2 linked regions of the Stegostoma tigrinum genome follow. The protein of the gene in region 1 interacts with the protein of each later gene in a biochemical or structural test. Links are inferred from orthologs where the notes say so. Each region holds a gene or a part of one and is shown on either strand. Other genes may lie near its edges.

The links.
Region 2: the proteins of nmur1a (region 1) and nmu form a complex in vitro, tested with the Homo sapiens proteins (2 studies listed by BioGRID). The link is inferred for Stegostoma tigrinum from reciprocal best matches to the Homo sapiens genes NMUR1 and NMU.

Annotation. Positions count from the first base shown.
Region 1 is NC_081367.1:37,988,947-38,000,259, forward strand, and holds the start of nmur1a (neuromedin-U receptor 1), read left to right. Parts: upstream 1-6,706; 5' UTR 6,707-7,309; coding exon 7,310-8,237; intron 8,238-11,313. UniProt on the Homo sapiens protein: Receptor for the neuromedin-U and neuromedin-S neuropeptides.
Region 2 is NC_081354.1:108,883,493-108,894,478, reverse strand, and holds the start of nmu (neuromedin-U), read left to right. Parts: upstream 1-6,867; 5' UTR 6,868-7,084; coding exon 7,085-7,211; intron 7,212-10,951; coding exon 10,952-10,986.

The sequences.
Region 1 (11,313 bases):
TCATTCTCAGAAAACTCCATCTGCTTCATTAATGTCCTTACCTGGTCTGGCCCATATTTGACTCTAGTCCCTGACTTGTAACTGTCCTCTGCTCAATGGGGAATGGACAATAAAAGCTGGTTTAACCAGTGATATCCACATTCCATGAATGAGTTAAGAAGTTTTAGAACCCAGTCAGATTAAATGTTTAGATTTTCATAGAATTCTTTTTGACCCATCAGAGATTGTGATGGTGGGTACATGGACATTAATAATGGTCAGACATTTACTCGGAAAATCAGTAGAATTATTTTCAGGAATACTTGCAAGCTCAGGTATCTGATTGGATGATATGATATTATATATAGATACACAAAATTGATCAAGCTCATGAGTGAGGAGGCATGAATTGGTTGTCGTTCTCTATTCACCTGTCCTCTTGGTTGGTTGCAATAAGGTTAATTTGGAAAGAATCCTTTCATTTGTGGGTGCCTTTCTCTGAGAACCAAATGCATTTATGTTTCAAATAGAACTAATGTAACAAAGCTATATCTTGGCTTAAGAAATGAGTGAGTTTATTAATTATTAAATGTGAGAAGTAATAACACATACACACAGATTAGAAATGAGAGGTGAGTCCACAAAAAATGTTGGAAAAGATATTCATATCAGTCTCTGAAAAGCAGACCCTGGGATATTATCTCCAATACATTCATTGATACCAGTGACCTGATGCTGGAAGGTGAGCAGTTTGTTCTGAAATGTTTGATTTTGCACAAAAACAGAAGTTGCTGGCAAAGTTCAGCAGGTCTAGCAGACCTGAGGAAGGGTCACCAGACCCAAAAGTTTAACTCTGATTTTTTCTTCACAGATGTTGCAACTTCTGTTTTTGTTCCTGATTTACAGTTCTTTTGGCTTTTGCTTGATTTTGGAGATTCGCTGGAACTCATTTTGCTCATCATTTTACTTATTTTTTGGCTTCCAGCACAGAAAGAGAAACTTAGATAACACGGTGTGAAGCTGGATGAACACAGCAGGCCAAGCCGCATCGGAGGAGCAGGAAAGCTTGAGGTTTCAGGTTGGGACCCTTCTTCAGAAAGATAAACTTATATTCTTTTTACCTACATTGCAGGCGCAGCTTAGCTATGAATCTTACAGCACACACATTCACCCTGTTATAATCTATTTGTGAAAGGAAGATTGAAACATGAGTTCTGCAACTTCTAGGACTATCATAAAAGTTAAAGTTTTAATTATATTTATCAACATCACTAGTTCACTTGGCTGACAAACCATGTTCATAGATAAAATTGACTAGATTTCTGTACTTAACAAGGTTGTTAATAAATTATTGTTTATTTCTAATAATTGAGTTTAAGCAGGCAAACAAAATATGACTTATAACCTAGAACACCCAAACTTAAACTATACCCCTCCTTAAACTTTCAGACAATATGTAGTCAGAAATAGATAAGCAAAAATAAAATGTTACGGATGGTGGAGGGCATAAAAAAAACACAGTTTAATAGCATGTGTCCACGGAATTGAACAAAGTGCCCTTTTGCTTCTTCCAAACCCTTCTAATCTCTGATCTGCTTTTTCTAAGTTCCTTCATTTCTTTACTGAAGCCATAGGGCAGTTGGCAAGTTAATTGTTCAGTTTTTCTGCCACTGATTAGAGGCAGCAGCTTATGGGGAAATAGTGACTAAGGATAGTCCGCGATCTACCAATTTTTTGTTACTTCTCTTCAAGGAAAGAGGGGATGTTATCTTAGAGTCAGAAGGTTTTCTGTCTCTGTATTGTTGACACATTGGCTTTCATCTGTTCAGAAGCCAGGCGGTTTTTGCTATGCTGAGCTTTCCAGACTCTCATAACTGGCCCTGATTATAAAAGCATCTGCAGCCTGTTTCTTGTTTTTCTCCCATCACATGTCACAAATTATTCACCTGCATCTGATAGTGCATAAAATAAACTTTGCTTCTGGTTTAGCTTTATCATAGTGTTATTCTGGTCCTTTTAAAGTCAAAGTCCACAACAGAGGGAGTGTGGGAAATATATTCTGCTATTTAAAATAAGGAGTAAATTAAATTACATTCTGCCTCTAGAGAGATGGCAAATATTGGTAAGTATACATTTGTTTGAAAAATTCACCATTCGTCCACACAGAAATTTGGCATTCCATCCAGATTGGATCAAACAAGGTATGCTAAAAATTTAGCCAAAGGGTACAAAATATGAGTAAAGTCTAAATACCTGTATATGAAACAGACTAAAATAAACTGATTGGCAGCGTAAGCATTTAAATTGGACAGACAAAATGGTTTGTAAAACAAATTGACTGCAACAAAACTTTATTACTTTAAGATTAATGAAAGGCATATTTTGATTCAAAAACATTCTTAGATCAAGATAACTGCTGAAATGTTAGCTATACTAAGCATAGACCACTAGAAGACTGTAGCTAGATGATTAGAAGTGAAATTGCACAGCAACATAAACCAAAAGGACACCCTTAAGCTGCTAGCTGAGCACAAGGACATAGTCCCATTCCAGAGCAGCTGGATGAAAAATTGATTTTTGAAGTAGCCCTATCCCCTGTGACCGGCACAGAGTTGGCAATACTCAGATTGCAGCTGGAGGTTTGGGAGAGATAAAGGGAGAAAGCAAGAAGGAATGAGGTTCTGAAATGGAATTATGGCTCAGTGAAAACTTAAGTAAACAGACGGAATTAGGGAAAATCCTCTCCACTCAGATGCAGACCAAATGTGCCTTCCCCAGAAACAAGCTTTGAAGTCCTAAAATATTCTTGATTCATTCCTAAATATGGAGTAGAATATGTGGACTCTTTTTACAGGACTTTTAAAGAGGCAGTGCTTTGCAGTTACAGTGGTCATGAATTTTTGTAATTCAGGGTGAGTTAACAGGAAAGGCCCAAAAGGTCCCCTAAATGACCCCTTCTTGTAGCAAGGAGACCAGAATTGCACATGATATTCCGAAAGTGGTCGAACCAATGTCTTACACAGTTGCAGAATGACCTCCCACCTCCTATACTCAATGCACTGTTTTAACTTTATGTAGTAACCATAGAAACTGGGAGCAACAGTCGACTCCCTTGTTCGCTCCACACTGCCCTCCAACCCCACCACACCCGGCACCTTCCCCTGCAACCGCAGGAAATGCTACACTTGTCCCCACACCTCCTCCCTCACCCCCATCCCAGGCCCCAAGATGACATTCCACATTAAGCAGAGGTTCACCTGCACATCTGCCAATGTGGTATACTGCATCCACTGTACCCGGTGCGGCTTCCTCTACATTGGGGAAACCAAGCGGAGGCTTGGGGATCGCTTTGCAGAACACCTCCGCTCAGTTCGCAACAAACAACTGCACCTCCCAGTCGCAAACCATTTCCACTCCCCCTCCCATTCTCTTGATGACATGTCCATCATGGGCCTCCTGCACTGCCACAATGATGCCACCCGAAGGTTGCAGGAACAGCAACTCATATTCCGCCTGGGAACCCTGCAGCCATATGGTATCAATGTGGACTTCACCAGTTTCAAAATCTCCCCTTCCCCCACTGCATCCCTAAACCAGCCCAGTTCATCCCCTCCCCCCACTGCACCACACAACCAGCCCAGCTCTTCCCCCCCACCCACTGCATCCCAAAACCAGTCCAACCTGTCTCTGCCTCCCTAACCGGTTCTTCCTCTCACCCATCCCTTCCTCCCACCCCAAGCCGCACCCCCAGCTACCTACTAACCTCATCCCACCTCCTTGACCTGTCCGTCTTCCCTGGACTGACCTATCCCCTCCCTACCTCCCCATCTACACCCTCTCCACCTATCTTCTTTACTCTCCATCTTCGGTCCGCCTCCCCCTCTCTCCCTATTTATTCTAGTTCCCTCCCCCCATCCCCCTCTCTGATGAAGGGTCTAGGCCCGAAACGTCAGCTTTTGTGCTCCTGAGATGCTGCTTGGCCTGCTGTGTTCATCCAGCCTCACATTTTATTATCTTGGAATCTCCAGCATCTGCAGTTCCCATTATCTCTGCAACAGTCGGCCATTTGGCTCTTCATGCCTGGTTTGCTATTCAATATGTACATGATGTGGAGTTGCCAGACTGGGGTGGACAAAATCAGAGATTACATGACACCAGGTTATAGTCCAACAGGTTTATTTGAAAATACAAGGTTGTGTTTTCAAATCATCCTGTTGGACTATAACCTGGTGTCTTGTGAATTCTGAAAATATAATCATGTCTTATCCTTTATTTCAAAGCCAAATTTCTGCTTTGTCCCCATATCTCTCAGTGCTTTTTAAATCTAAAAAACTTACTTATCTCTTTCTTGAAAATGTTCAGTGACTTGGTTTCTACAGCCTTCTGTAGTCGAGAATGCTACAGTTTCACTAGTCTTTCAGTGAAGAAATATTTCCTCATTGTGGTCCTAAAAGGCTTACCTGTTTACTGAGACTGTGGCCCTTGGTTGCAAACACCTCACCTTCCCTGCATCTACACATTTCAGTCAGATCCCCTCTCATCTTTCTCGGCTCTGACGAATACAGGCCCAATCAAACAAAGTTTTCCTCAAAGAACAGTCCTTTAATCCACAGTACCAGCCAAGCGAGCCTCCGCTGAAGTCCTTCCATGGCAACTATATCCTTTCTTAGCTAGGGTGACCAAAACTGCATGCAATACTTCAGATGTGTTCTCACCAAGGCCCCTATAACAGCAAAAGGGCAGCTCTACATCTGAATTCAAATTCTCTTTGCAATGAAGGCATATTATTTGCCATCCTAATTGTTTGCTGCACCTGCCTGTTTACTTTTATTTACTAATGTACAGGAACACATGGATCCCTTTACATGTCTGCATTTCTCAATATATCACCACCCAAATAATAATCTGCCTTTCTGTTTTTCACACTGAAGTGTTCACCTTCTCATTTACCCAAATTATATTGCAACTTCCATGCGTTTGCCTACTCACTCAATTTATCTAAACTGTCTTGAAGCATCCTTGTATCCACTCACCATTCGCAATCCTGCCTAGTTTTATATCTTCAGAAAATTTGGAAATGTTCCTGTTACATCATGATAACTGGGGTCCAAGCATTGATCCTTGCAGTAGCTTGCTTATCTGCCACTTGGAAAAAGATACATTTATTCCCACTCTCTGTTTTGTGACTTTCGATCAATTGTCAATCCAACTCAATATATTACTCCCAGTTCCATATGTTTTAGTTTTGTCCACAAACGTCTTATTTGGGAGATCATCAAAAGCCTTCCAAAAATTTAAGTATGCCACATCCACTGGTTCTCCTTTGTCTATTCTTCTTGCTACTTTCTCAAAAAAATCCAGTAGATTTGTTAAGCGTAATTTACTCTTCATAAACCTTTTCTCAAATACAGTTCATGCTTTACAATTTTTTTATCATGTACTTCATAGTGGACTATAACATTTTCCTTACTCTTGATGTTAGGTAAATTGACCTGTAGTTCTGTGTTTTTCTCTCCCGTCCATTTTGATCAGTGGGGATGGCATTTAACACCCTCCAATATGTTGCTCCAGAGTCTTCGAATTTTGAAAGATGACAACCAATTCATCCAATATTTCTAGGGCCAATTGCTTTAGTACTTTGGGATGTACATTATCAGATGCTAATAATTTGTTAGCCTTTAACTCCATCAATTTCCTGAAAAACAGTTTGTTACTAATGCTGATTTCCTCCAATTCCTCCCTTTCACTAGACCCCTGTTTCTGTAACATTTCTGGCAAGTTATTTATGCACTCTTTTACCACAACACTACTACAAAGTCTGAGTTCACTAATACTGTGGAATAAAACAATAAAAAAGGGAAAAATGTAATAACTATTTTCTTATCAATTGTGAGAAGAGGGAAGATTTATTTTAAAACTTGCAATCTGTCCATAAGAAAACTGCATTTAGCTAGCATCGGTATTACAATATTTAGAACAGCGATTTGAAACAGCAATAATCATATTGTAAAAACCAGCAATTTCGATTTATATATTTTATACAAAGAAAAAGCACCACCTGTGAACTGTATTTAAAATGATCAAACTGAAGTCATCACGTTTCGTTTCTTCCATATTTCCACACCAGTATGGAACTCTGAACTGTGTAGCCCGCTCCTTTAAATACACGAAGATTAAATATTTCATGTACAGAAAGGAAACTAAAAACTCATATTGTCCTTCTTTAAAGATTCTCGTAGAAATGCTTATAAAATTATATTTAAGTTAATGATACAAAAGGTTCTGGATCCTAACATTTCCCACCCCAGTGCCTGGCAGACTTCACAAGACCAGCGCTTCAAACAAAGAACTGCGGATGCTGGAAATCAGAAACAAAGACAGAAATTGCTGGAAAAAAATGAGCTCAGCAGGTCTGACAGCATCCGTGGAGAGAAATCTGAGTTAACATTTTCGGTCCAGAGACCCTTCTCTAGAACAAGCACTAAGATGGTCAATGAACACAGTTAAATGTATGAAAACTAATATTGCGGGGTCTTTGTGAGTGAGTGTATACCCGGATCCTCTGAAAGGTCAGTTTTTGTTTGAAATGGAAACTTACTCTTTTCATAAAGCTCTGCATTGCAGAAATCAATTCAAACCAGTGCCGATTAACCCTCAAGGAATATCATCCGAAAGACGGGGTTGTTTCATTGTTGCCTGTAGACGTCAGAAGTGATGCGAAGTTCCATGTCCTTATAACGGCGGCAGTGCCTCAAGGCTTTGGAAATACCTGGCGCAGTGGCTGATCGCGGCGTATTCTCCCTCTCCCTGCCCACTCCGCTTGGGAGCAGTTTATACACTGGGAGCCAAAGGCTGGATTGGATGGAACAGTCTGACTGAAGAACAGTTCTCAAGGACTGAAGACTGACGTCCAAACTCAATTATTAAGAAAAGTACAGTGTCGCTGATTACTGGATCCAAATCCAGTTGACAACCAGGACTAGGAATATCAACATCACTGCGCGGACTCCGTTCATGTGGAAGCGGGGGAAAGGGTACTTTGCTGCTTTGAGAAGGGTGGAAATATTCAGGCTTTCTAATCGTGAATCCCTCCTTGTCAACGGTGAGTCTTTAGAGCACATATAAAAGGTAACAGTTTTACCCAACTCAGGGCAAAACATCTGTTCGGTAATAAGACTGATATAAAAGATTCCCAGTTTTATGATATCGAACTATAAGTTTGAGATAAGCTACAAAGTTGACGGGTTTAAAAACGATGACAGCTTGATTTAACCGTGCTTTCGGATATTCACGGACTTTCATTTAGTCTTGGACGGGAGGGAAAGGAATAATGCAACTTTCACCCAGTCAGCAGCAATTCCCCAAAAACTGTTCTCAGATGGCTTCGTTGAAGAATCGGAGCGCGTTTCTCCAAACCATCTACCAGTACTTCTGCAACGCAACCTTCGAAAAGCAGAACCTCAGCTGGAATAGCACCATCCCGGAGGACTTTTTCATGAGCAAAGAGGAGCTGCTGTTGAAGTATCTGGGTCCCAGGAGATCGTCCTTTTTCGTGCCAGTCTGTTTGATTTATCTCTGCATCTTTGTGGTCGGCGCTTTTGGAAATGCACTAACCTGCATCGTTATAGCGAAGCACAAAGTGATGAGAACCCCTACGAATTATTATTTATTCAGCCTGGCCATTTCCGATCTCTTGGTGCTGATTCTGGGCATGCCGTTGGAACTCTATGAAATGTGGAGGAATTACCCGTTTCTCCTCGGTCAAGCGGGATGTCACTTTAAAACCTTCCTTTTTGAGACGGTTTGCTTTGCCTCAATACTAAACGTGACGGCCCTCAGTGTTGAGAGATACATCGCCGTCGTGCATCCCCTGAAAGCAAAGTATGTTGTGACCAGAGCTCACGCCAAACGTGTCATCTTAACGGTGTGGCTGATTTCCCTCTGCTCAGCCATCCCCAACACCCACCTGCACGGCATCTATTATCTGAGTACCCCGTTTGGGGAACACATTGAAGAGTCCGCTATCTGCGTGCTATTAAAGCCAGCCTGGATGTACAGTCTCATCATTCAGATCACCACGGTGCTGTTTTTCTTCGTCCCGATGATCATTATTAGTATGCTGTACTTACTGATTGGATTGCAACTGAAGCGAGAGGAGGTAATTTCTGACTTCAAACCAGGATTGGGAAATGCCAACTACCAAACGGCCCGCATGGAGCAAGAGAAGGTCAGGAGGAGCCAAGTAACCAAAATGCTCAGTAAGTTTAAAAAAATGCACATTGTTACGAAAGACTCCCAGTTGAGGTTCCTCAATTTGTCACAGTTCCAGGGAATCTCTCCATGCTCCCAGGTGAGGTGGGGTGAACTGGCTCTGCATTACACCCATCCCGTTGGGTTGGTTACGACAAGGTTAAGTTAAAAATGGACCTCTTCCTCTGTGGGTTTCATTCACTCACACCCAAATGTTTTAAAATAAACAAAAGGACTCATTCCTTTGGTTAATTCAGGAAAAAAAAAGAACTGGCTAAATTGACTCCTTTCAAAGCATAAGTTAATTTGAGTCTGGGAGACAGGGGAAAGGACTCCGTCTTGAAATGAACATGGTTGCAGCCAACCAAAAGGATGGGTGAGTAAGAAAGGGGCTGGTCCATACTTCTTCACCGGGGAGCCAAACAGTTTGGGATATTCTTCTAGGACTAAACAAGTTGGGGAACCTCAGCCAGGATCCTGTCATAACAAACTAGGGGCTTTTACTGCAGTTTGAAACAACAGATGAAACGTAAGAAATAGAGTGGTAACTTACCACTTTGAAACCAATTGTTAAAAAAAACTGCAAAGGGCTTTATTGAGTTTGCAGTTCCACACACTATTGAAATGTCCGCCTTCAATCACAGTTAGTTAAGTTAGGGTAAGTTAGTTTCGAAGATTTAAATGTTCTGTCCCTTAAGCAGTTAAAAGATTGAGGGACACACTCAGGGTTAGAATTTTACCCTAAGTCAGAAACTCCAAAATTTTAGAAGGAATAGCCAATAATTTACAGACGGAAACTGAGGATGAAGCGATAGATGATGATTATCAGGAGAAAGGGTAAAATCAGAGCAGTGTGAATTAGAGTTTTAAGAAAAGGAAAAGCAACTAGAAAGAGGATTGGGGCAATACAGGCATGGACTATTCTCGAAATGGTGAGAAAATTCACAAAGCAGAAGTACAAAGGGACCTGGGAGAGTTGGTCCAGGATTCTCGAAAGGTTAACTTGCAGGTAGAGTCCGTGATTAAGAAAGCGAATGTAATGTTGTCGTTTATCTCAAGAGGGTTGGAATATAAAAGCAGCGATGTGCTTCTGAGGCTTTATAAAGCTCTAGTTAGGCCCCATTTAGAATACTGTGTCCAATTTTGGGCCCCACACCTCAGGAAGGACATACTAGCCCTGGAGCATGTCCAGCGGAGTTTCACACGGATGATCCCTGGAATTGTAGGTTTAACATATGATGAATAGCTAAGGATCCTGGGATTGTACTCATTAGAGTTTAGAAGGTTGAGGGGAGATCTAATAGAAACTTACAAGATAAAGTGTGGCTTAGAAGGGGTGGACGCTAGGAAGTTGCTTCCGTTAGGCAGGGAGACTAGGACCCATGGGCACAGCCTTAAAATTAGAGGGGGTAAATTTAAAACTGAAATGAGACGACATTTCTTCAGCCAGAGAGTGGTTGGCTTGTGGAATTCATTGCCATGGAGTGCAGTGGAGTTCAGGACGTTGGATGCCTTCAAGGCAGAGATCGACAAATTCTTGATCTCACAAGGAATCAAGGGCTATGGGGAGAGTGCAGGGAAGTGGAGTTGAAATGCCCATCAGCCATGATTTAAATGGCGGAGTGGACTTGATGGGCCAAATGGCCTAACTTCCACTCCTATGCCTTATGGTCTTATGGTCTAAGACAGCAAAGAGTAAGGAGAGAAGAAAGTTTATCGAAAAACCTGCAAGAAAAGAGTATCAATTAAGACAGTTGAAATTGAAAAAAAGACTGGAATCTTACTGCATCGCATGAAGTTACTATTGGCCAAGACTTGAGGGTGAGGCAACTCAGTTAGTCATTTAATTCCTAGCTTTGAGGAGGCAGAGATTGAAACTACCTTAGAAGACTTGACAGGATAGATACAAAAAGGATGTTTCCTCTTATGGGAGAGTCCTGGACCAAAGGACATAATCTCAGAATGAGGGTTTGCACATGTAGGACAAAGATGAGGAGGAATTTTTACTCTCTGACAGTAGTGAACCTATGAAATTCTTTCCAGCAGAGAGCTGTAGAGCTTGGTTCATTAAGTATATTCAAGTCTGAGATAGATTTTGAATCAGTAAGGGAACCAATGGTTATGGGGAAAAGGCAGGAAACTAGAGTTGAGAACTATCAAATCAGCCATGATCTCATTGAACAGCAGAACATACTCAGTTGGCTGAGTGGCCTTCTTCTGCAGCCACAACTTATGGTGTAAAGGTGGGAAAAGTGATGGACAATTGAGCCCATAATGGAAAAAATGGAAATACAGGGGGCCTTCGTGAGGACAGAAATGATAGTGCTAAGTTGAACGGTGAGGGTAAGAAGCTGATGTGTTTTCTTTGATGCAAGACAGGGCATGGTTGGACCAATTGTTGAATGCTATGGGAAAATCTAGTGGGATTTATCAGAGTGCATGTGCAATGCACAGAGAATGGGGTTCAGTCAGACAGCATATCAGGCCAGGCTATAACTCGGACTTCAACTATAAATCCCTGTGACAGCATTCCTGAGAGTGTGAATTCGGTTAAACAAATTCCTGAAATTTATTGGGACTTTGTATCTTATGCAGGAGTGGTCACATTTTCACAGGTAGAGGCAAACAGCCTACAGAAATATCAAAGGGATGCTGAGGCCAGCCAAACTCTACTGCTGGAAAAGGGCATGACCTTCCTACAAGAGAGGACAGTTAATGCCAAAGTGCTGGTAGGAGAGATTAACAGAGGGTGCATTCTCATCCCCCTTTACTGGGCGCCTATGGTGTGTGACCTTGTGTCAAGGCCAGTGACCACAAGTGTCATCCCTGATGTGGTTGTGGATGGGACTGACCTGCTTCTCAGCAATTACTTGATGGGATGAAAGGTAATAACATTCTCAGTGGTCTCTGAGAAGCCATTTGAGGTCAGGGAGACAAACACACTGTAGACACCAAGGAATGACATTTTTTTCTGTCAGCATGGTCATGCCAGCTATGGGTAGACAAGCTCAGCCACTGGAGGCTGAAGAGGCATTACAAGTGGAAGATTCTCCTGTTTGATGATCCCAAACAACTACCCAACAA
Region 2 (10,986 bases), on another chromosome or scaffold:
CTATCTCATCTGACTCCACACACAACTTACCACTACTATCCTTGATTGGGCCTAATCTTACTTTCGTCATTCTTTTATTCTTTAAATACCTATAGAAAGCCTTAGGGTTTACCCTGATCCTATCTACCAACAACTTCTCATGTCTCCTCCTGGCTCTTCTGAGTTCTCTCTTTAGGACTTTCCTGGCTACCTCGTAGCCCTCAAGTGCCATAACTGAGCCTTCATATCTCATCCTAACATAAGCCTTCTTCTTCCTCTTGACTAGAGATTCCACCTCCTTCGTAAACCACGGCTCCCGCACTCTACAGCTTCCTCCCTCCTGACGAGTACATACTTATCTAGGACACACAGGAGCTTTTCCTTGAATAAGCTCCACATTTCTAATGTGCCCATCCCCTGCAGTTTCCTTCCCCATTCTATGCTCCCTAAATCCTGCCTAATCTCATTGTAATTGCCTTTCCCCCAGCTATAACTCTTGTCCAGTGGTATACACTTATCCCTTTCCATCACTAAAGTAAACATAACAGAATTGTGATCGCTATCACCAAAGTGCTCACCTACTTCCAAATCTAACACCTGGCCGGGCTCATTACCCAGTACCAAACCTAATGTGGCTTCGCCACTTGTTGGCCTATCTACATACTGTGTCAAGAAGCCCTCCTGCACACACTGGACAAAAACTGACCCATCTATAGTACTCGAACTATAGTGTTCCCAGTCAATATCTGGAAAGTTGAAGTCCCCCATGACAACTACCCTGTCTCTCTCACTCCTATCGAGAATCATCTTTGCTATCCTTTCCTCTACATCTCTGGAACTATTCGGAGGCCTATAGAAAACTCCCAACAGGGTGACCTCTCCTTTTCTGTTTCTAACCTCAGCCCATACTACCTCAGTTGACGAGTCCCCAAACATCCTTTCTGCAACTGTAATACTGTCCTTGACCGACAATGCCACACCTCTGCCCCTTTTACCATCTTCTCTGTTCTGACTGAAACATCTAAATCCCAGAGCCTGCAACAACCATTCCTGTCCCTGCTCTATCCATGTCTCCGAAATGGCCACAACATTGAAGTCCCAGGTACTAACCCCTGCTGCAAGTTCACCCACCTTATTCCGGACGCTCCTGGCATTGAAGTAGACACACTTCAATCCAGCTTCTTGCTTGCCAGTGCCATCTTGCTTCCCTGAAACTTTATTTCGGACCACTCTACTCTCAACATTTTCTATAGTCGAACTACAATTTTGGTGCCCATCCCCCTGCTGAATTAGATCCTAGAAGGTTATATAATAACAACACTAGCAATGTGTAAAGATGTCTTAATTTCTCTGAATGTGTTCCAGAATCTATTAATCCTACGACAAAGTAAAATACCAAAAACATTCCTGTTTTACGTTTGACACAGGGAAGATGAGAGACGTCTCGAAGTAGAATCTCCCAACAGCCACGCAGTAGAATGAGCACACACAAAAACAGAAATTGCTGGAGAAATTCAACAGGACTAACAGTGGAGAGAAAACAGAGTTAATGTTTCAAGTCCAGTCACCGTGCTTGCTGGGGACACAATAGGATCTAATGCAAACTAAAGGGGTAACAATTGCCATCCTCTAAATACATCACAAACTCTCATTTTACTAGAGATACATAACCACAAAAATGGTCACACCTTCTAATCAACACACAAGTTATTCATTCTGGGTACTGTTGTAACAGTTCGCAAAGCAAACAGTATCATGTAGACACATGCATGAGAACTAACATGTGAGCTCCCTCCACTCACACTTCCGCAGATTGCAAATCTGTGCACAGGCGTTTTGTCTATGGGAGGAAGTGCATAGCTAGAATGTCATTGACTAATAATCCAGTAAATTTCGGCCAATAGACTGGGAATATCGGCTCAACTCCCATCACAGATGTTTTTTGGGATTTAAAGTGAATTAATAAATATAGAACTTAAAAAAAAATGGTGGCCATGAAATTGCTGTTGTAAAAGCCTACCTGTTTCACGAAGGTACATCTGCTGTAGTCTGGCCAACATGTGATTCCAGACCATGAGCAACTATTAATACTATTAATACTACAAAGTCCCACTTTTTGAGATATGGGTGCTTGCACTTCCCAAAATTTGGAAAGCTGTGCCATAGATAAGTCAACCAACAGCCTGACAAAGGCATCCACACCATTGTACTTACAGATGATGGGATGGAATCTTGTAGTTCACCTGGGGTGTTCAGTAGCGTGCAAGGGAAAACTAAATTGGGTATGAGGCCAAACTTCAGATTCCCAATATCAATTTAAAGCTTTGGAAGTAAGTTCTCTGAAACTTTTAGGCAACCTTCTTGATCATAATGGTAAAAAATCTCTTTCAGATTCATTAGCATATCATAAATATTCTTTACACCCAGCCCAATGGTGTTTTATTCATAATTGTAATCTTATTAGTCAGTAGTAAGAAAAACATGAGTTCATATTTCTTACCATGTTTGTACTCGTTGGCATTCAACCTTCTCAACTCCAGGACATTTCTGCAGGAGTCCATCAGGATAGTGTCTACGCGCAACCATCTTCAATTACTTCATCAACCAATTTCCCTCCATTAAGGTCAGAAGTGGGGATGTTTACACAATACTCAGCACCATTCACAACTTCTCAGCTACTGAATCAGCCAGTCTTACATGCAACAAGACCAGGGCAACCTTCAGATTTGGGATTTTTAAAAATCCCTTGTGGGAGTGGACGTCACTGGCTGGCCAGCAATTTTATTGATTATTTCTAGTTGCCCTTGAGAAGATGTTGGAGAGCTATCTTCTTGAATTGCTGCAATCCGCACACTGTTGGGTTGACCCTCAATATCATTGGGGATCAAATTCCAAGATTCTGACCCAGCAACAATGAAGGAACAACAATATATTTCTAAGCCAGGATGGTGAGTGGTTTGGAGGGGAACTTGCAGTTGGTGGTGTTCCCATGTATCTTCTGCCCTTGTTCTTCTACATGGAAGTGAATGCTGAGATTGGACGGTGCTGTTTAAGGATTTTTGATGCTTTGCTGCAGTGCATCTTGTAGACAGTACTCTGCTGCTACTGAATGTCAGTGGTGGAGAGAGTGGATGCTTGTGGATGTAGTACCAATCAAGCAAGCTGCTTTGTCCTGGATGGTGTGAAGTTTCTTGAGTGTTGTTAGGGCTACACTCATCAGGCAAGTGGGGACTATTCCATCAGGTTCCTGGCTTGTGCTGTGTAGGTGGTGGACAGGCTTTGAGGAGTCAGGAGATGAGTTACTTGTTGTGGTATTCCTAGTCTCATCACAAGGATAATAAGTGGCAAGTAACATTTTCCTTCTCTTTTCGCTTTCCAGGATGCGAAAAAAAAACATTCCAATAATAGTTATAAACCAGTAGATGGGAGAGTGAGTGGAACTCAGTGAAAATACAAATCTACAGGGAAGTGGTACTGAGCAAACTGACGGAACTGTGAGCTAACAAGTTCTCAGTTCCTGATGGATTTCATCTTCAGCTGTTAAAAGAAGTTATGAGTAAGGTAGTAGATGCATTGGTGTTAATGTGGCAACATTTTCAAGATTCTGGAATGGTGCCATCAAACTGTAAAGTAGCAAATATAATCAATCTAGTCAAGAGGGGAGAACATAAAAAACAACATGTTTGGCTTGACATTTGTTGAGCAGAAGGCATTAGAATTGATCACAAAGAAGGTTATTACTGCACACTTCAAGAAAATCAAGGCAATGTGTTGGAGTCAGTATTGATTTGTGAAAGGAAAATCATGTTTAACCAGTTTATCTGAGTTATATGAACATGTTTGTGGAGAAAGGGGAGTCTGTGGACTTCTGGGTTTCTAGAAGGCACTTGTGAAGGGGCCATGTGAAATGCTATTGCACAGAGCAGGGACTCAAAGTGTAGAGGGTTACATGTTAGCATGGAGAGAAGACTAGCTGGCTCACAGAAAACAGAGATTACTCATAAATGGGGGATAGCAAGAACTGCAGATACTGGAGTCAGACAACACAGTGTGGTCCTGGAAGAACACAGCAGGCCAGGCAGCATCAGAGGAGCAGGAATGAAATTTCAATTGCCTGCTGTGTTCTTCCAGCTTCACACTGTATTTACTCATGAATGTGTCTTTTTTTCAGATTGGCAGGATCTGGCAAGTGGAGTCCCACAGGGATCTATTTTGTGGTCTCCGCTTTTACAATTTATATCAATGACTTTAATGAAGGGCATAAAGACATGGTTGTTAATCTTACAGATGACACAAGCATAGGTAGGAATGTATATTCCTAAGGCGATATATGGAGGATGCAGATCGATATAAATAGGTTGAGTGAATGGATAAACATCTAACTGATGGACTGTAATCTGAGAATATGTGAAGTTGTTCTCTTTTTATTTAAAGAGAAAATGAGTTACAAGTTCTGGGTATTCTCGTGTGTGAATTACAAGAAGTTAGTATGCAGGTGCAGCAAGTAATGAGGGCTAATGGAATGCTGTTCTTTATTACAAGCTAAATTGAACACATAAGTAAAAATGTTGCTTTAGTTTTACAGGGAACTGGAGAGACTACAATTCAAACATTGTATACAGTTTTAGTAATAATGGGAACTGCAGATGCTGGAGAATCTGAGATAATGAAGTGTGGAGCTGGATGAACACAGCAGGCCAAGCAGCACCTTAGGAGCACAAAAGCTGCCATTTCGGGTTATACCCTTTATCAGAAAAGGGGGAGGGGGAGAGGATTCTGAAAGAAATAGGGCGAGGGGGGAGGTGGACTGAAGATGGGTAGAGGAGAAGATAGGTGGAGAGGAGACAGACAATTTAAGGAGGCGGGGATGGAGCCAGTAGAGGTGAGTGTAGGTGGGGAGTTAGGGAGGGGATAGGTCAGTCTGAGGAGACAGACAGGTCAAGAAGGCAGGATGATGTTAGTAGGTAGGAAGTGGGGGTGCGGCTTGAGGTGGGAGGAGGGGATAGGTGAGAGGAAGAACAAGTTAGGGAGGCGGGGATGAACTGGGCTGGTTTGGGATGCTGTAGGGGGAGAGGAGATTTTGAAATTTATGAAATACACATTGATACCATTGGGCTGCAGGGTTCCCAAGCGGAATATGAGTCGTTGTTCCTGCAACCTTCCGGTGGCATCATTGTGGCACTGCAGGAGGCCCATGATGGACATGTCGCCTGAGGAATGGGAGGGGGAGTGGAAATGGTTTGCGACTGGGAGGTGCAGTTGTTTATTGTGAACTGAGCGGAGGTGTTCTGCAAAGCGGTCCCCAAGCCTCCGCTTGGTTTCCCCAATGTAGAGGAAGCCACAACGGGTACAGTAGATGCAGTATACCACATTGGCAGATGTGCAGGTGAACATCTGCTTGATGTGGAAAGTCTTCTTGGGGCCTGGGATGGGGGTGAGGGAGGAGGTGTGGGGGCAGGTGTAGCACTTCCTGCAGTTGCAGGGGAAAGTGCCGGGTGTGGTGGGGTTGGAGGGACCACTTTGCAGAACACTACACTCGGTTCGCAATAAACAACTGCACCTCCCAGTCGCGAACCATTTCAACTCCCCCTCCCATTCCTCAGATGACATGTCCATCCTGGACCTCCCGCAGTGCCACAACGTTGCCACCTGAAGGTTGCAGGAACAACAACTCATATTCCGCTTGGGAACCCTGCAGCCCAATGATATCAATGTGGATTTCACAAGCTTCAAAATCTCCCCTCCCCCTACTGCATTCCAAATCCAGCCCAGCTTGTCCCCAACTCCCTAACCTAAGCCACACCCCTATTTCCTACCTACTAACCTCATTCTGACCCCATGACCTGTCCATCCTCCCCGGACTGACCTATCCCCTCCCTACCTCACAACCTACACTCACCTCTACAGGCTCCATCCCCGCCTCTTTAACTTGTTTGTCTCCTCTCCACCATCTTCTCCTCTATCCATCTTCAATCCACCTCCACCTCTCTCCATATTTATTTTAGAACCCTCTCCCCCTCCCCCTTTTCTGATGAAGGGTCTGGGCCCAAAATGTCAGCTTTTGTGCTCTTAAGATGCTGCTTGGCCTGCTGTGTTCATCCAGCTCCACACTTTGTTATACAGTTTTAGCCTCCTTATTTGATGAAGGATGTATTGGTGGTGGTTCAGAGGAGGTTTGTTAGATTGGAATGAGCAGTTTTATGTGGATAGTGGTGCAGGCAGGTTCAATTGAAACATTCGAGGCCATTGCAGGTTGTGGGGGAAATGTAGGAGATTGGCAGTGGGTAATGAAGCTCATTTTCAGAGCTGGTGTAAGCATGATGGGCCGAATGGCTTCCTCTTGCGCCATGGTAATTCTGTGTTCCTGTCATTGTCCAACTACTATCTTTTATCGGAACGTCTGAGCCCCTGGTCAACGGCTGAACATTGGTGGTGAGAGCAGAGAGAGTGGAACCCTAACGGTCGATGCTTAAAGTTCGAGGAATGTTTGGGAAAGGAGTTAATATGTCAGTTTCAAGCAGGAAGGCAGCGAGAAACCAGCTGGTATATCCCTTACTCAGTAACTGTCTTCAGCGTTCATGGACACTGGAATTGTAAGGTTTTTCAAACAACTGTAGGTCAAAGCGAAGGAACGCTGGCTGAATTGATCAGAGAACGAGACCCGGAAAATAGCCAGGCAAGCCAACTTTATGAAATGAGGCGGAATGTGCACAAGACGAGCATGAACGGGTCCGATTTTAACTCTGCGCTAGTGAGTGGCTTTTAAATGAGACAAAGCCTTGTCCACCTACAGAAATGCCTCAAATATCCCCCAGCTATCAGCTGGAGCGAAGGGTTGGAGGAGGGGGTAGCTGCTCTTTGCTTTTGACTGGGAACCAGAAAGGAAAAGGGAGTTGCCGAGGATATTGATCGAAGCTGAACTTCTTCAAAGTCAGAAGGAGAGTGAATGCCAGCACATGGTGTATCTGTCTCACCGTGTCCTGAAGACTCATGACGTTTGGACATGTCGATACTGACGTGGGGACTGTTTTTAAGAGTGGAGATGCACAAGCAGTGAAAGTTTACCAGGATCTGAGTTGCCTAGTTAAGATCGTGTGGACCAGGCATGCTGGGTTTCAATCTCTGTCAGTGCCGGGGAGGAGCAAGAGCGCCGCGGAGACGCAGTATGAAGCACCCTCACTGCATGCTCGCACTTTCACTGTTCCTGCTCTCCAGCTCGTGTTTCTCACAAGGTACCAGTGTTAACTTTCAACCTCTCCGCCTCCTCCTCTCCTTTCTTCTTTCCTCGTCATATTTCTGCCAATATTGTCTTACTTGTTTCCAGTAAAAATGTTATTTTTTTACAATTCTTTTAAGCTTTGTTTTTTTTTCTATTCTTTTAGTCGCTTGTCGTTTTACCCCGTGTGAAAAAAGTCAATGATCGTTAATTTCACTGCTAAGTTGAAAAGGAAGCGTTTGGTTTATTTATACAAATAAACAACGACGACCTCGACATATGTAATCACATTGCTTAAGAAAGTGCAATCTTGTACAATGTTTAATGTCTATTAAGATTTGTGATACTGGCCGCGGTCCCTGAGATCTCTGCAGACTAGATAACCTCCCAGATAAAAATAGAAAATTTCGTTTTTCCCTGCTTTTGTAGAGTTTGACATTGATACGCCTTGAGATGATCTTTCAATAGTTTCACCAATGAGCTAATGTTGGAATTGAAGTGAAACTCTTTTCATCAGCCTGGTTCAGGGAATATCCAGGAGTCCCTGCTCTGTGTTCTGAGAGTTGATCTTTGGATAGTGTGTGATGGTTTTTAGCTGAAATGTTAGCAAGGTTGAAAAGTGCAAATGAACAGCGCAGAAAATTAGCATTGATGCCTGGCTGTTCAAATAGATATAGTAAATAGTGTGTTTTGGAAGATTAAAAAATTCATTAAATTCATCAAAAAAACTCATTAAAAATATTAAATCCTCTTACAAAATAATATCCTTATTTTCCCTTATAACCTGTCCTGCAGGTCCACTTAAGTTCTGTGATTTGGGATGGAGTATGTCGGAAAAAAATGGACATTTATTTCTTTATTAATATTCCAATTACATTTCTGTAACATCTCAAATGTTTTATTGAGATTAGTCCTCATCTTCATTAGAGAATGAATCTAATTTGCTCTTAGGAAAGCAATGAAGCTGATTATTACAACAGAAGTCCAATATAATGATGTAGCTGAGGACAGAGACACTGCAACTTTGCATATTTACTTAACAGGAAAGAAATGTTTACTTTATTCAATGCCATTGATTCTTGGCATTCATAAATGCTGATTCAATTCAAATAAAATGGGACATACTATAGGATAGCTATTCTTACTTAGTGTTATATTCCTTACGGCTGGGTAGAGCATTTGAAAAGTGTACAGGTAGACAATAAACATGTAATAAAGACAGAGCTTTGCTTAGTACTAGGATCATAAAACTTGTTTGTTAAGGTATTACTTGCATGTTTAGAGTTATGAACTGTGATATACAGAGGGAAATGATTATACTATTGCATGGAATAGGAAAAAAATTAAACTAGGGCATTATTGAATTGAAGTGATCTTAGAATGATGTTTCAGTATATTGCTGATTCAATAAAAATATTAAAGCAAAATTACAAACAAATTACAAGATAACATGACAATGAAAGTGTAAAATGAAAACTGCAATTTCCAATCACTATTATACACAATCATTTTTATTATACTATTTGAGTTGTGTTAAACATTTAATATTTTGATTTTACTAGAAACCTACGTGATAGTTACTTTCATCTTCTTCACCCAAAATTAAAACATCTTTTTTCAGTTTTACATGATACACAACAAATCAAAACAAGCTGTTATATTTATATCTGTTCTTTTATTATCCTTTGCTATAAAAGTGGGAAAGCATTTCAACTTAACTGTGTTTTTCAAACTAAGTTGAGAAGAAAATCTGTCAAGATTCAGTTTGAGAGCGTAGTCAATCACAAAAAAAAGTTAATGTATGAGCGAAATTCAGTTAAACGTGTGTAAAATTAATGTTTGTTAAGGAGATACTACATTTACTTAGAGCTCTTAAGCAGATCTATTTTTCCCTTCATAGACAGTGGCAATCGATAAAAATATTATTGGACTGAAAGAAATACTTCCCATTTAAACTTGTGAATTGGGTACTTTTAAAAATAAATTGTTTAAGTATGTTATGAATGTCCATAGGAAAGGAATAAAATTAGGGAGAGAATTATTTTGGACGTCTAACTGGGATTTTCCTCTGAATTGCTCTTATTATGTCATCTTGACTTAGTTAGAATTTCATTGAAAGCTTTGATTATACTGCACTTCCTGTGAAATTAAAGCATAAATTGATATTGAAGGTCAAAGCCTAATGCTCCCATATCTCAAAAACCTTACAGGATTCCAATGATTACAAAGAAACCAATCACACATATTTGTACAATTTACAAATGAATGTTGAAATTATTAATTTATGATAGAATAATTTAGTGCTCAGCAAATAGGTCTTTTATTTCAGAATGATTAATACTTAGTTATAACATAAAAGTAACAGGCAAAGAACACATTATTAAACTAACTTATTAGATATACCAAAATGTTGGAGGAAAAAAAGTCACTGCATTCCAGGAAAGGACCATCCTTCCTTTTGTGAGAAATTTCATTGTTACATGCTTCAGGAGAGAACGATCTTTCATACATTCATTCTAATTAAAATCTCATTGGCAGTTTTAGTTTCAAATTGCTAAAATATAATGCAATTTTTATATTTCATATTTTTGTGATAACATGTTTAATAAAAATAAGCATTTGAGTAGTAAACCTAACACTGGATTTCAAGGTGAAGTAATAATAAATTTTAACTGTAGCCTAAACCTACATTTGAACTTGGCCACCTTGTTTCCCAACTTTATAGACGGGTGTTTCGATGGTGAGCAAAGTGGCAACAGAATCCTTCAGGTCAGAGAACTGAAAGCGCAACATTTACTATCTTATAGATGGGTAACTATCTAGAATGTTCAGGATCAAAAGCCTGAGGCAAATGTACAATAATAGTTATAATTCTCAAATTGACCTTTCAGGATGATGTACATTCCTATGTGGTCAGATTATTTTTCAATGCAAGCATGTTATGATCATCTCCTCAAAGAAGTAAAATGTTCTCACCTTGAGGCTATTGTATGTTGTATCCACAATTCACAATGTTTCCTGGGGATTATTTTCATGTAACTTACAAGAAACAAGCCCTTGGCTACCTGTGGTTAAATGGGAAAAAATATAATAGGTGAGCTAGGCAAACCAGAACTAATTCTTGAAATTAATAATCAAAATAAGCATACCAGAAGTCAAATTCATAATCTGTTTTATTAGTGGACACTTATCCAATGTTTATAATCTTTGTAAACGTTTTTCAGTTGCAACATATTTCTTATTAGTTTGATAGATTTCTCCTAAGAATGAAATTACACTATATCTCTTCCTCCACTTCTCTGCTATTCTCCAAAATAGCATTAAAAGATATCTCATTAAGCAAACTTCTTAAGTGTCAAGTGTCCAGATGAATCCTGCTTTGATTCAGTATCAATCTGTGTCTGATTATATATTTTCAAAGTGTTTTCAAATAGTTTACTACACTAGAGGCCATATAAGACTACAAGATGTTGTTATTTTTGAAATCATTGCCAGTCAGTAGCAAGAAACAAAAAATGTTTGGGATAATTTTAATTTTCTCTGACAATGTAAAACTCGTGACATTAGGCCAGTAACCTTGTTCCATCTTATCTTTTATTTCCAATATTATCTTTCACTATTGCCTGTTTTACCCTTTCACACAGAAGCCAAATTAAGCTTAAAAATCATAATAATTTTGTTGTATCAGGATTTGTATAATTGTAATTTCTGGTATATAGTTGGTGCACACAATCTTATGTCTAACCAATTTTGCAGGTGTTCTTGCATCACCTCAGCGGTTTCCAGCAGAA